Tribolium castaneum: one gene and its partner. The protein of the gene in region 1 purifies or fractionates together with the protein of each later gene. This does not show direct contact. Links are inferred from orthologs where the notes say so. Each region holds a gene or a part of one and is shown in the gene's direction. Other genes may lie near its edges.

What was found.
Region 2: the proteins of eukaryotic translation initiation factor 4 gamma 3 (region 1) and polyadenylate-binding protein 1 purify together in Drosophila melanogaster (affinity purification with western blotting; 3 studies listed by BioGRID, with this or other methods). This does not show direct contact. The link is inferred for Tribolium castaneum from reciprocal best matches to the Drosophila melanogaster genes eIF4G1 and pAbp.

The regions. Positions count from the first base shown.
Region 1 is NC_087398.1:12,806,501-12,813,758, forward strand, and holds the start of eukaryotic translation initiation factor 4 gamma 3, read left to right. Parts: upstream 1-2,530; 5' UTR 2,531-2,928; coding exon 2,929-2,993; intron 2,994-3,111; exon of another isoform or gene 3,112-3,361; intron 3,362-4,275; exon of another isoform or gene 4,276-4,846; coding exon of another isoform or gene 4,847-4,934; intron 4,935-7,258. Other genes in the region: zinc finger MYND domain-containing protein 11, read left to right, coding at 7-409, 456-600, 649-766, 816-983, 1,032-1,154; protein LZIC, read right to left, coding at 1,586-1,717, 1,766-1,921, 1,971-2,106, 2,159-2,259.
Region 2 is NC_087403.1:5,257,602-5,264,695, reverse strand, and holds polyadenylate-binding protein 1, read left to right. Parts: upstream 1-2,607; 5' UTR 2,608-2,854; coding exon 2,855-3,047; intron 3,048-3,192; coding exon 3,193-3,759; intron 3,760-3,810; coding exon 3,811-4,928; 3' UTR 4,929-5,280; downstream 5,281-7,094. Other genes in the region: ScsbetaG (succinate--CoA ligase [GDP-forming] subunit beta, mitochondrial), read right to left, coding at 6,017-6,980, 7,027-7,094.

The DNA.
Region 1 (7,258 bases):
TTTTAGGTGATTCAAGAGACGAGCACGCATTTTGATGTTAGGTTTTTTGGGGGTAAATACGAAAGGTCGCTTCTGATCAAATCGTTAATTAAACCGATTGAAACGCCGCAATCGAAGTTGCAAATAAAGACGTCTTCGGCGTTTAACAAGGCGGTGGAGGAGTTAAGGTTCCATCAGCGCTTGATGCAGAACCCTGACGAGCTCCAGAAGTTGATCAGTTCGTCGAAAAACAGGGTCAGGAGTTTAAATAAGCAGCGAATTTCGACGTTGAAGAAGTCGCTTAATAGTTCACTGGAAGTGAAAAAGAGAAATTCATTTGAAATGAATGATGTTTACAAGTTTGAGGATAATCCATTCGGTCAGCAAAATTTAAGCCTAACGCATAAACGTAAAAGCAGTTTTTGTGAAGGTAATTTCGTTGTCTTGTGTTACTTGCGTCTTATTTGATTAATTAGGAAGTCCCGTGTCGAAAAAAAATTCAACTAGTTCCGTGGAGAAAAACGAGGAAGTTCACAATACTTCCGATAGCGTTATACACATATCAGACGGCGAAGACGATGAGTATCCCTATTACGATTATTCATCGGTTTCTAATACAAAGTAAATATGTGTGTCAGGTGTTTCCGAGTTTAATTTTTTTATTGTTAGCTATAATGGTTCATATGAGCAAGTTTCAAGTTCCACTGAAAATTACAGATTCCAGGACAGAAGCCAGGAAAATGGGATGCAGCAACTTGATCACCCTTATAGTGATTCAGTTGAAAAGGTTTGCTAATAAGCGACGTTACAGTAACTTGCTCACGGTTGGTTTGTAGATGAGAAGAAGACTTGAATGTGTGAGTGATAAAAAAGAGCTTATAAAGTGTGCAATGGACTGTATGCAAAGTGAGATTGATCAAATTACAAATAATCACAATGATCATTTGAAAAGGTTGTTTGAGTCCCACAATGCGCAGATATCGGAGATTAAGAAAAAGCAATGGGTAAGAAAGATTGGCCAAAATGAGCGGTTGTAATTCATTCATTTCCAGTGCTATAATTGCGAACAGGAAGCCATTTATCATTGTTGCTGGAACACGGCGTATTGTTCCCAAAGTTGTCAACAACAGCACTGGCAAGCAGAACATAAAAAAGTTTGCAGGCGTAAGCGCTAGTTTCATACAAAAATTAAAAAATGTTATTTTGTGTATTATCTATTTTTATAGTTTGTTTATCCTCTAATATCATTATGTAGAGTAATGGGAACATTGGCGTAATTTTCATTGTTTTGGTACTTTTTAGGACCAAGTTACGAAAGTACAATTCTAGTTAACTTTTTAATTGTAGGCAATAACTTGAGTTGTAAGAGTTTATCACATAGTGTTGTTGAAACTTCCAAATCATTTTTAAACGTTGTATCACAATTGAAAGTTATGCCACTACTTCATTGTTTGTTCTTATTTTATGGTTTAAAATAGTATTGCTTATAAATTTTATGTATTTGCAACGGAAGATACAATAAATGGCAAACGACCTGTTCTTTTATCTGCAGCTTTGTTAAATTATATGCATGTACAAATAAAGCCCTTATTTCTTGGTGCGTTTTTCATTCATCAGTCACTTCCACAAACTCAACGTTTTGGAAAGCATTGGCAATATTATTGTGTTTCTCCAAAAACTGCAGCTCTTCCATTGATAACTGTTCCCCCAGTTGTCTCAATGCAGTTAATATTTCAGCCTAGAAAAATGAATAAGTAATCACGTCTGAAATTGCTAGGTAAATGACCTTTTGTCTGTTAGTAGCTTCATCACTCAATTTATTAAGTTTACACTCTTGCTCAATACTGGATAATCGTTCTCTCAACTGCTTTGGTTCTCTTTTGCCAAAAAGTCTGATAACCTCTGGCGTTTTAAACGCTTCTGATATGGCAGCTTGTGTGGCCTTGAAAAATCGTATTTGATTTTTTGAAAAAATAAAGAACTGTTTTTACAAGTTGTACGGCTCCGAGGGCACTAACAAGTGAGATATCGCCTTTGACTAGTTTCGATAAGCTATCGTTTAATTCCTTTAACTGATCCATCGTGTCCTGTTTAGTCTCCTCATATTCCTCCGGGTCTAAATCCGCTCTAAAAATGCAGTTTCATCATTCGGGAGCATTGAAACGCGGTGACGACTAACTTGCAATTTTCTAAATCTCCCAGTTGTTCGACTAGTCTGTCCAGTTGATTTTCCAAATTTTGTTTCAGTTTCGCGGTTTCGACTTTTCCATAGGAGGTCATTTTGGTTGATTTGCAACTCAATTACTGGAAATTTGCATTTTTTTGTAGGTTAGATCAATTTCTGGACAATGCCCGTTATTTTTTCAAGTGAGCGGTTGGGTTAACTTTCGACGTACGGCGTGTTTGGTGTTTTTGTTGTTGGTGGGGGTTAAGTGAGAGAGGGACGCCGGGCGTGCGTCTTTGCTAAGGAAAAATTGTTTTAGTTGTGTAATTTTCCGTTGGGTGCGCTAGGTGTGCTTTTCTAGCAACGTGAAAGCCGCGTGTCAGTTTTAATAAAGTTGTAAGTTTAATTTAAATTTGAAGAAGTGACATTGGTTAAATTCGAGTTCGCATTAAGTTCGGGAGTGTGGAGGCTGTTGTCCGAATAGTGCAAGCACGGCCCGGAGTGCGTCACGAAACTAAAGAAAACAATCATGTTTTTGGGTTAAAAGTCCGCCATCTTGAAACATATCTTAACCTTTGATTAGTAATAGTGGTAGTGTTATCTAAGTGACGATTTCGAAAAATCCAGCATCATCAACATCGAATTTCGGTCTTTGGGTGCGACGATGTTGCGAAGCTTGTGAACTGGCCGGAAATGTGTGTTGTGCTGTCAGTTCTGAACATATGCAGTCGCTGAGAACGGATACGCGGCGGCCTCTGTGAGGGACGCGGCGCCCCAGGGCTGACATGAGCGGCAACCAGAAGCAGACAGCCGGGAGGGGGCCCCAAAACCAGGCCTACTCCACCACACTGTATCCTTTGAGTTACGCCCATCTGTCACCCGACTGTCATCCCCCCTGTCTTAATTGTTGCTGGCGCTGCATTGTTTTGAGTAGAATGTGAACGCCAGGCTGGTAAACTTTCATTAGTTCACATTCACCTGTCTATGCAGGCCACCAACCGCAGTCATTACCAATCCATATGGTGTTCCACACAAATCACGCCCAATAATTACAATTCGCGATTTGTTTCAATTTCGAACTCGCGTGACGGGGCTCCAGCTTGTTGCATCACTATGTGAAAAGTGAAGTGGTGGCATTGGATGTCAAGCGAATTCGCTGCTCTTTCCCTGATTTAATTACATAATTGTGTGTCATATTGCCACGCACGATAAACGCAGGTAAGGTCAGGTGTGACTTCGCCCTAGTTCATTACCGACACCTCCTGGTTCGGTTTCGAGTGCCTTTTTACCAAATGTTTTTTTGCTGGGTTTTCCCCGAATTTTTTTAAAAATGACCAGTTGAATGCGATGGTTGATGGTTGATCCGGAGTTGTGGTTGCGCATGCGTTCCCATTGTTCCTGGCGGCGGAACCAGGAACCAAGTCCCCAATGTTGCCAGGTCTGGTGATCTTTCACCAGATTTGGTGACTTTGATGCCAATCTTGTGAAATTCTGTGATTTTTGGCAACGGAAAATTTTAATCTATTAATTTATTCTGGATTACCTTTTAGCATGGGACGTTCAGAAGTATTGCGGAACCGATAAGATAAGAGGGTGTTTTTTTGAGCATTTCCTCTCGAGACTTTACTAATCCGAGTGGAAAGTCTTTAACTTCTTTAATAAATAAGTAGAAAATGTAATGTTTATATTTTTAAGTTTCAAGCGTCCCAAAAAAGCATTACTTTGGGCTAAATATGACATAGCTAACATTGGTTAGCTAAAACCGCAATTATTTTCAAAATTTTCGTTAAAAGTAACCCGAAAATTTACTATTTGTTACTAGGATGCAAAAAAGCACCAAATTGGAGGGAAATGGTATTTTTTAGTCAGTTTCAGTCACTAATTTGTTCTTAAATTAGAGACCTTGCAAAAAGTCACAAAAATAAATCGATGCATGTTTCGTTTGATTTATTATCCCGGTTTGGATCTAAACTTTATCGGAAATAAGCTGAAAAATTAGGAAATTTTTTAAAAGATTAATTAGTTTGTTCAAAAAGTAATGCTTGTGTCCTTACCAGGAACAAATCTGGTAGTTTTTCGGCGCGGATCTGGTGTAGTAATTTTTTTGCGCTGGCAACACTGCAAGTCGCACAGTCGATACAATGGCGGTGTCGCCGAAGTCATAATTTTTTGACTGACAATCAAGTTTATGCTAAAGACAGAAACCTCGTGTTCGCAATCGAAAAAAATCGCCGATTTTTCCGTTTATTTAACAACGAAACGTAACGCGACAAGTTACCAGCACCGTACCATGTGATGATTGGTTTGCGTGGTGTTTGGTAAAACGCCCTTATCGATTTTTGGTGTTTGGTGCAGGGAGACGTGCTTCGCATGTCCCAGCTCCTCTTCGGGTTTTCTTGTTGTTGTTTTGAAAATCACCGAACGTGTTCAGAAACTCACCCCAATGCAGTTTCGTCGTACCAATGACTGTGCGTTTTCTTCTCGTAAGTCGGTGGTTGGAAAAGTGGTTGTGGTGGTAGTGAGTCACACGACATTATTATGTCGAAGAAGTTTGATGCTGGACAAAAGCCTGTATTGATGGGTTATTATCGTGTGAGGGGAGTGACTTGCGTGGGTTTTTGATGCGTTATTTTGCCCAACTCGAGTTATTTGTCGCGTGAATGCGGCGTTTGTGATTTTTTTATTTTGGAATTTTTCGACAAGATGGTGTCGCGGTACGTGACCAATGGTCCTGTCAAAGAGGGCATATGCTTGCTACCACCCACGCATTACAGGATGATGCCACCGCAACGTAAGTTTTTTGCCCTAAGATAAACCAGTGACATTGACAATTGACGATGATGCACGTGTTTTATTGCCCGACATGCCTCGTTCTCGCGGCTAAGACAAAATCAATAATGCCCCCACAACTTACGAGAACTTAAACTTAACCCCAATTCGCGTTATTCTAACGAGATTGATTCATTTTTAATCACTGCTCTTCCCACTTTCATTAGCGAGTTTTCACCCTTTATATTAAATTATTTACTTCAACCTTTGATAAACTGTGTGGGTTTGTTTTTTTTTAACTTATTTCCGTAATGCTAAAACATGTTGCTCTAAAATCAACAAAAATGTTTGGTGGCGCAATGTTTAAGGAGCCGTCGCTTGTATAATAGAAAAAGACACGACATTAAAAAGATGAAATCATAAAAAATTGGTGCAAATATGAATTTCCCATTTGCATAAGTATTGTTTGTTTTTTTTTATTTTTACAGGATGTAAAACATTTTAATTAAATTTCGTTAAAACACTCAAAATGTAAGTCAACCGCTTTGATCAATAATACTAGATTATTAAATTATCATAACTCGGTAATTTGTTCTTGCGGTAATAAGAAACGACTTGCGTTTACCCACGAGATAATAATTAGTAATAATTGCTGATAATTGTGATTTTCTGTTATTTTATTATAAGATTATTAAAATTGTGGTTTGCTTGAAGAAGTTGTAATAAGTAAATTTTAATGAACACATGGAAATCAACAAGAAAAACGAAACTTATCTTATTTTTGTTATTTCCGCAAGAATATTTAAGCGTCCATCGAATATTCTTTAAGGTCACATTTTTTTATTTATGATTATTGAAAAGTTATTTTTTAATTGCGTCATTGTTCTTCCGGAGAAAAGCGATATGCTACTGATTACTCAGTAAGTAAACGCAAGGCATTTACGTTTATCCACGTCCATTTATTTATTGACGTAATGTCTGAAAATCATTAAGAAAAGACAGGAAACAGTTATTTTTTTCAGTGCTGTTACATTTTTTTGTCCTATTATTATAATTATTAGTATTACTGTTTTGTCGAATTAAAACTACGCAGCTGTTAATTATTATTAAATACATAATATGTATGTTGTAGGAATATAGTAATCAGAAGAAAGTACACATGCAATCATTGAGATTTCATGATAAACACAAATATCAAAGTGGCCTTCAGTTTGAAAATCTTTGTATCACTTTGTATCAAAATGTCATGCGTTGAAAACGTGCTGGGAGTCCTTTAAGGATTCTTGAATCTTGAATTTTTCTTAAATAGCTAGGTTTCTTGTTATCTTAATAAGCCATTGTTAGAAAATTCTACATTATTAAAATGAGAATTTGGTAGAAAAAAATCTCAATTAATTGCTAATCGGTAGATGATTAGAGCATTATTTGCACCCTATCTTTCATTAATTAAGTAATTAATTGCTTATTAACTTTCCATGGAACTTGTTTGTAAACCACTTTCATTTATTGATCCTGGTTACAGGATTATGAAGTAGCGTTTTTTACCTTGTATGAAAAATTTCCATTCTACCATCGTGTGAAAAAAATGTGGAATCTACCGGATAAATGTACTTCCTTTGTTTTGGTTACCATTTTGGAAAGGGTTAGGTGTGACCCCATTTCACAAGCGGTTATTAGTTAATTGTGTGTGAGAGAGTTAAATGTTAATAAATATTGTTTAATCAACGCCTGCACTTGTCATATTTATCGTAATAACAGTCCAATAACAATTAATTTGGAACCGATCATGGTGTGAAAATAGTCGTGTACTTCTCAGTGGAAAAATTTTCAAACACGTGTTTGCACTGTTTTATACTTTTCGAGTTTCTAAAGCACAACAAACAATAGCTTAGCCTAGTTAGAAGAGGCAGTTGTTTGCAGAAAATAAAGGTGAATGATTTACTTCCTTCAAAATTTGGGTAATTGGTTGTTTTCATTCAAGTTTGAATACAATCATTTGTAGTGACATTTATAACGTATTGTGTGGATCCTTGACTCCAGAGTTGTTCAGTGGAGGAAGCGAAAGATAAAAAGTTTGATAATATTCACAAATTAAATTAGTATTACACACACAATTCACGTGTTCAACTAGTTGCTTCTGACACGTAACAATGCAACACTTGGCAATTATGCATTGCAAAAATCACACCTTGAAAATCATGTGGGATAAACGGTAAAATACACACTAAATGCTTCATCGTTCTATTATAATTTTACTTTCTGCGAATAACAAAAGATTTTTTCAAACGAATTTGATTTGGCTTTTAACTCTCTAAACCCTGTAATCGAATCGAGTAAGCTTTATGG
Region 2 (7,094 bases), on another chromosome or scaffold:
CTAGCCTGAGGATATCCGTTCACTTTCCCTTATTTAGAAATCAATACGCCGTTCGACTGTGGCATATATGACACTTTGTGGGGACCCCGAGCGCGATTTCCGCCAAAGAGTGCATCCTCGAGGTTAATGACACCAGGACAGCCCCCAAATCCGACCGCCGCCTCCCTAATCCCATTATCCACAAAAACAAAACCTCCAAACAGGACTACCAACAAAACGCCAATTACCTTAATTTAATAAAAACCATCGACTTATTATCTTCTTGACCAGTGTGAACGGTCGGCGTCGCGACGTCGCCACGCATGCGCACAGAACCAAGTCAGTGGGAGGCGTCGTTTATGACATTTTACAACATCCTTGTCCCAGAAATGTACAACAAAAAACAAACAAACGCAAACTTTGCAAACAAAACACGACTGCCACTTTAAATCATTTGACGTTTCATCAATGAAACTGCGACCGATTTATGACAAGGGTCGCATCTCACCCTTGGAGGGATTTCCCCATTTTTTAATTATCGCAATAAATAAACGGGTGTTTGATGCCGTTTTCTCACCTTTCATCTTGCAACCGTTTCAGTTCCACCATTTCCAGCTCGAACCTCAGATTGCTGTTTTCACACAGCAAAAGATCCCGCTCGCTTGCAACTCCATCCAGTTCCCTCTTTAGCCGAATTATCTGGTCCCGTTGTTCCCGTATGATGGCATCTTTTTGGGCCAATAACGAATTTATATCGACTTCTATTCCTGCCATTGCAGGTCTCCTACTGTTCACACACACACGATCCTCAGTTGTTACGGTACCGTCCAAATTTTTAATCTGACGGGCATTTTCCTCCAGCAACGATTTGGTTTTTCCTTTTTTCACACAAGTTTTTCAAAAAAATTATCACATCTTATTCTGAAACGATATTGACAGACGAAATACAACGCGCCGCACTGTTCCTTGGTTTTTCTCACTATTATTCATCTGTCTCTCTTACGTCAGGAGCGAGAGCACAGAACAAAACGGGATGAACAAACCTACACACGTTGCCCCATCTGGAAATCCCCTCCAGTAACACTTCCAGGATGGTAACTTAGCGACTTGTCTTACCGGCCTACCACGAATTTCCGCACAAATTGCCGATAAAACGTGATTTCTCACACGAAAATGGGTGACTAACTTTGTTCACCTGCCTAATCAGCACAATAGTGCTTTGTAGATAAAAAAATCAGATAAAATGTTAATAACAATTACCATACATGGCCACGTGAGTAGTTGCGATGTTGCCACATTGCCATGTCCACAAGAAAATAAAGCACTCTTTGTTATTTTTGTTTGTTTTTAATGAAACAAGAGGTCCTCATGTTTCCAGTTTTAAATATTCTTAATCTACATCAAAAATCAAGACAACAGAAAATTTATTTATATTTATTCATTTTTAAACAATTTCTGTAATATATACAATTAATCTTGAATTTTAACTAACTCCGAAAAACTATTTTGTATGGATTTAACACAAAATAAACTTAGCCGATTACAAAATGAAGGCAAAAATTATATAAAATGTAATAACATTCATCTTGTTAGTCTCATCAGTGTTTTCTTAATCTTTGTTATAAAATATGGTATATAAAATCTATTTCTTCTCAAATATTTGTTATCTGACTCTAAAAAATTGCGTAAAAGAAAAAAGCACCTGTTTGAGCAAGTAAATTTACTCTCACTGAATTTTTGTTTAAACTAATAATAATATAAATCGTTATCATATACTTGTGGCAGCAGATAAGACCGTTACATATCGAAAAAAAATATTTACACACCGATTTATCAGTGAGAGTTGGTACTTAATTTTTTTAATGTGTTCGTTAAATATGAATATTAAAGCAAACTACTCTTAAGACTGTTCGTAATGCCATTAGTTGCTACCACACCATAGATGAATCACTCACTACTTCTTATCTTAATGATTACGAAAATATGTGAAAAATGAAGCTTTTTGGACAGGTCTCATCCTAATTACTTATTAAGTGCTACTATTAATATTATAAAAGACATCCGAATGAGTTAAAAAAATTGTTTTAGAGAGTTAGATTTCTTGAAAAAAAGAATTTTGAATTTTATAATCGAAAACATAAATTAAATAAATTTCACGATTTAAATGCTAAGAATTTAAAGCACGTAACGATTTCCGTTTGAACGTCCACAATTCGTTCTTTCAAATATGCCGCCACAAGTTTGACATTAGAAATTAGATTTCCGTTAGAAATTGTGTTCATATCAGCCTAAATTTGTAACAATTTGACTATAAAAAGTGTTCTGTGGTCACGAAAATTTAAGTCGTATTTTTATTAAACTTTTAAAAGTTTTATAGGAGACGGTACGTGTAAGAATTTTTAAAAATAGTCATCTTTGTCAACGGTCAAATTTTATGGTTTGGCAAATTTAGCTCGATTAAATTGAGATAGACGTCGGATTCTTTCTGAAACGATGTATGAAATCAAAAATGTGCTTTTTTTGCTAAATTGGTCGCAGGGTCCGTTAAAATTGATGTATTATTCAATATTTCATCACATGGCAACACTGGAATCAGTCATATCCGGCTTGTATAAGTAGTGAAAATGCTGTAACGACTCCATTTTGTTACTGTTGTTAGTGGTGTAAGCGTGTGGTTGTGTATCTTCTTAGAACACACAACCCACCTAAAAAAAAGCTAAATAATATTTACAAAAATCCAAAAAAATTATAAAAACTCATTAAAAACCCCAAAAAAATCGAAAAACAGTGGAAAAAACGAAAATAAACGGTTAATGTATATTTTTCGTTTCTTATGTTAACGCGTAGCATATCTGTGTAGTGTGCAAGAACGAAGATGAATCCGGGTGCTCCAAACTACCCCATGGCGTCTCTGTACGTCGGGGATCTCCACACCGATATCACGGAAGCAATGCTTTTTGAAAAGTTTTCCACTGCTGGACCAGTCCTTTCGATTCGCGTGTGCAGAGATTTGATAACGAGGCGTTCTCTCGGTTACGCTTATGTGAATTTCCAGCAGCCCGCTGATGGTAAGTGCGAACCCAGTGCCCATTTATTTGTTCCATATGGTACCCGACTGCCATTTAATATTTAATCCGTTTTGATTGTTAACCTTCCCCCACCACGCTCGCAACATTGAAATTTCTTAGAAATTGGTAAATGTTAATGTTGCAGCCGAACGCGCTTTGGACACCATGAATTTTGATTTAATCAAGGGCCGCCCAATTCGCATTATGTGGTCCCAACGCGACCCATCCCTTCGTAAGTCGGGAGTAGGAAATGTTTTCATTAAGAATCTAGATCGTTCCATTGACAACAAGGCTATGTACGATACGTTCTCAGCCTTTGGAAACATTCTCAGTTGTAAAGTAGCTCAAGACGAAAACGGCACCAGCAAAGGCTACGGCTTCGTCCATTTCGAAACAGAAGAAGCGGCTAACAAGTCGATCGAAAAAGTAAACGGCATGTTGCTCAACGGAAAGAAAGTCTACGTTGGCCGTTTCATTCCACGTAAAGAACGTGAAAAGGAGCTTGGCGAGAAAGCTAAGCTCTTCACCAACGTTTACGTCAAGAATTTCGGCGAAGACTTGACTGAGGAGCAACTGCGCACCATGTTTGAGAAGTACGGCAAAATCACCAGTTACAAGATCATGAGCAAGGACGACGGCAAGTCGAAAGGATTCGGATTTGTCGCCTTTGAAAGCCCTGAAGCCGCTGAGACAGCCGTTGAAGCTTTGAATGGTATGTTGCTTGTTGAGAGTGGCCGATTTTGTTTCTAATGTCTTTGTTTAGGTAAGGAAATCATCGATGGAAAGCCTTTGTACGTTGGACGCGCCCAGAAGAAGGCCGAGCGTCAGCAAGAATTGAAACGTCGCTTCGAAGCCTTGAAGATGGAGCGTTTGAACCGCTACCAAGGCGTGAACCTCTACGTGAAAAACCTGGACGACACAATTGACGATGAACGTTTACGTAAAGAATTCTCTCCGTTTGGAACCATAACATCGGCGAAAGTAATGATGGAGGACAATAGGAGCAAAGGCTTTGGCTTCGTTTGTTTCTCGTCGCCGGAAGAGGCCACAAAAGCCGTGACCGAGATGAACGGCCGGATCGTAGGTTCAAAGCCTTTATACGTGGCCTTAGCGCAGCGCAAGGAGGACCGTAAAGCCCACTTGACATCACAATACATGCAGCGTATGGCGAACATACGCATGCACCAAATGGGTCAGTTTATCCAGCCTGGAACGTCAAGTGGGTATTTCGTTCCAACGATCCCAGCCCCGCAGAGGTTCTATGGGGCGGCCCAGATGGCCCAGATCCGCACGAACCCGCGATGGCCGGCTCAGACCCCCGTGAGGCCCGGAGCCCAGGGCAGCGCTAACCCGTACGGTACCATTCCGACCACGTACCGAGCCGCGCCAAGGCCCCCGAACCAGTCCGCCGCTTTGAGGAGCAATATCAATGTGCCAAGACCAATAACCGGCCAGCAGCCACCGAATATACAAGGACGACCATTAGCTAGCCAAGCCGTTGTAGCACCTGCAGGTAATCGCCCAACTACTTACAAGTATACAGCAAATATGCGTAATCCTCCACAAGGTTTAGGCATCAGCAATGCTGCTCCGGTCCAGCAAGCTGTCCACATTCAAGGCCAGGAGCCTTTGACAGCCACCATGTTGGCAGCTGCCCCGCCACAAGAGCAAAAGCAAATGCTGGGTGAGAGGCTCTTCCCACTTATTCAACGCATGTATCCAGATTTGGCCGGAAAAATCACCGGTATGTTGCTCGAAATTGACAATTCGGAACTTTTGCATATGTTGGAACACAATGAATCCCTCAAAGCCAAGGTGGAGGAAGCCGTTGCTGTCTTGCAGGCCCATCAAGCCAAACAGGCTGCTATTAAAAAAGAGTAAACGGTCGCTTACTCAGACAAATAAATATAATAAAATGAAAAAAATTGCAAACATGTCTTACGACAAAAAAACTTATATAAAAATCGAAACATCATCATAAATGAAACTATTATTATGCGTTCGTGATTTTTGCTTGTTTGCAATTTTCACTATCTTAGTTAAATAGTTATTTCTTTGGTTTTTAGTTACTTTTCGCATTTTCCAATATCCTATTAATTGATGTATCTGCAACTTACTGAATTTGTAATATAAAATTGTACATTTCATATTTATTTTTCGTTCAAATTAATTTCTCAATCTTATGTTACTCTCTTGGTTTTTGGAATTTTAAAATAATAAATCTTAATAAAAACACATTCTTTTATTTACCACTTCACTACAATAAGATCTAAAAATAATATCTAAAGCACCAGAAATAAAATTCAAGGTAAGTATTGAAAGTACCAAAATAATTCAACATTTTAAAACACTAAAAAAAAGATCTAAGCTTACTTTTTCAAATGCCCAAATACGATTTTAAAAAATGATTGCGATTTGTCCAAGGAACAAGGGTGCTGTATTTTTTTTAATGACTTAAACTAGGATATAAGATGAAGGAATACTGAAAATTGTTTTAAAAAACTTGATTAATCGAAAAAGCAATAAAAAAACAGTACCGTAAAATTTTCTCACAAAAGTACATAACTTTTATCAAGCAAACTTCAAATTTTATAGTTATATTCACATTACCTTACCTGACTGCCTTAAATACAGAGGTGGGCAAAAGTATGGAACGAGTTTTTTCAAAAATAAATTTTCGAAATTCTTTTTAGTAAGTATTAGTACTTTTAGTATTTTAGAGCATAATCTTTTATCAAAAAAATTATCGTAATAGGGTGCCATTTGAAGAAAAAAAATTTTGAATACTTTAAAACTATTATCTGGGATATAATGGTGTAATGAAAAACGAATAGTATATGAGAAATTTTTATTAACCGAAAATACAATATCAAAACGAAGTAATGAAAACATTGGTCATTTGAACAGTTTTTTGTGCTGTTGACTAATGAGCAATATCAACAAATTAACACTTTATCAACAAAAACACGTTAGGCATTCTGCACCGCTTTTTTGGCGGCATCGTCGAGATTTTCAGCTGTTTGGATATTCATGCCTGAATCCTTGATAATTCTCCGGGCCTCCGCCGCATTCGTGCCTTCCAGTCTGACAATCAAAGGCACTTCAAGCTTCATCGCCTTCATTGCACCCACGATTCCATTGGCAATCGTCGCGCAATTCACGATCCCGCCGAAAACGTTGACCAAAATACATTTAACGTTCTTATCAGACGTGAGAATATTGAACGCGGCTTTGACCTGCTCCTCGCGGACGCTGCCCCCGACGTCGAGGAAGTTGGCGGGGTCGCCCCCATGCAGCTTGATGATGTCCATGGTGGCCATGGCCAAACCGGCGCCGTTGACCAAACAGCCGATGTTTCCTGTCATCCCGATGTAGTTCAGGTTGTATTTCGCCGCTTCGACCTCGCGGGGGTCGCTCTCGGTGACGTCCTCCAACGCGAAGATGTCCTTTTGGCGGAACTGCGCGTTGTCGTCGAAATTGATTTTCGCATCCACTGCGATCACTTTATTGTTGTCCGTTTCGACCAAAGGGTTGATTTCGAGCTGAGTGGCATCGACGGCGAGGAAGAACTGCCACAGTTTTTTCAGCTCGGCTGCGGCCAAACCCTTGAGGGGCCCCTTGAACTCCAGGAACTCGGCCACCTCATTGGCCATACTATCGGTCACCCCCTTGTGAATATCAATGGGGATGTTTTTGATCAAATGGGGCGTCTTCTCAGCCACGGCTTCGATGTCCACGCCGCCTGCGGGGGACGCAATTAAGACAGGCCCGTTCTTCTGCCTGTCCATTAAAATGCAAACGTAGGTCTCCCTCTGAATGTTCACACTTTCGGCAATCATGATTTTTTTCACCTCGATGCCGTCCTTGGGCGTCTGCTTCGTGATAAGCCTGTGGCCGAGCATTTTTTTGACGATATCGTCGACTTCATTGCGTCTGAAACAAACGCTCAATTTTGACAAAACCACAAAAAAAATTTTACTTCTCAGTGACATGAACCCCGCCTTTAAAACCATTGGTAAAGTGGCCTTTGCCGCGACCACCCGCCAG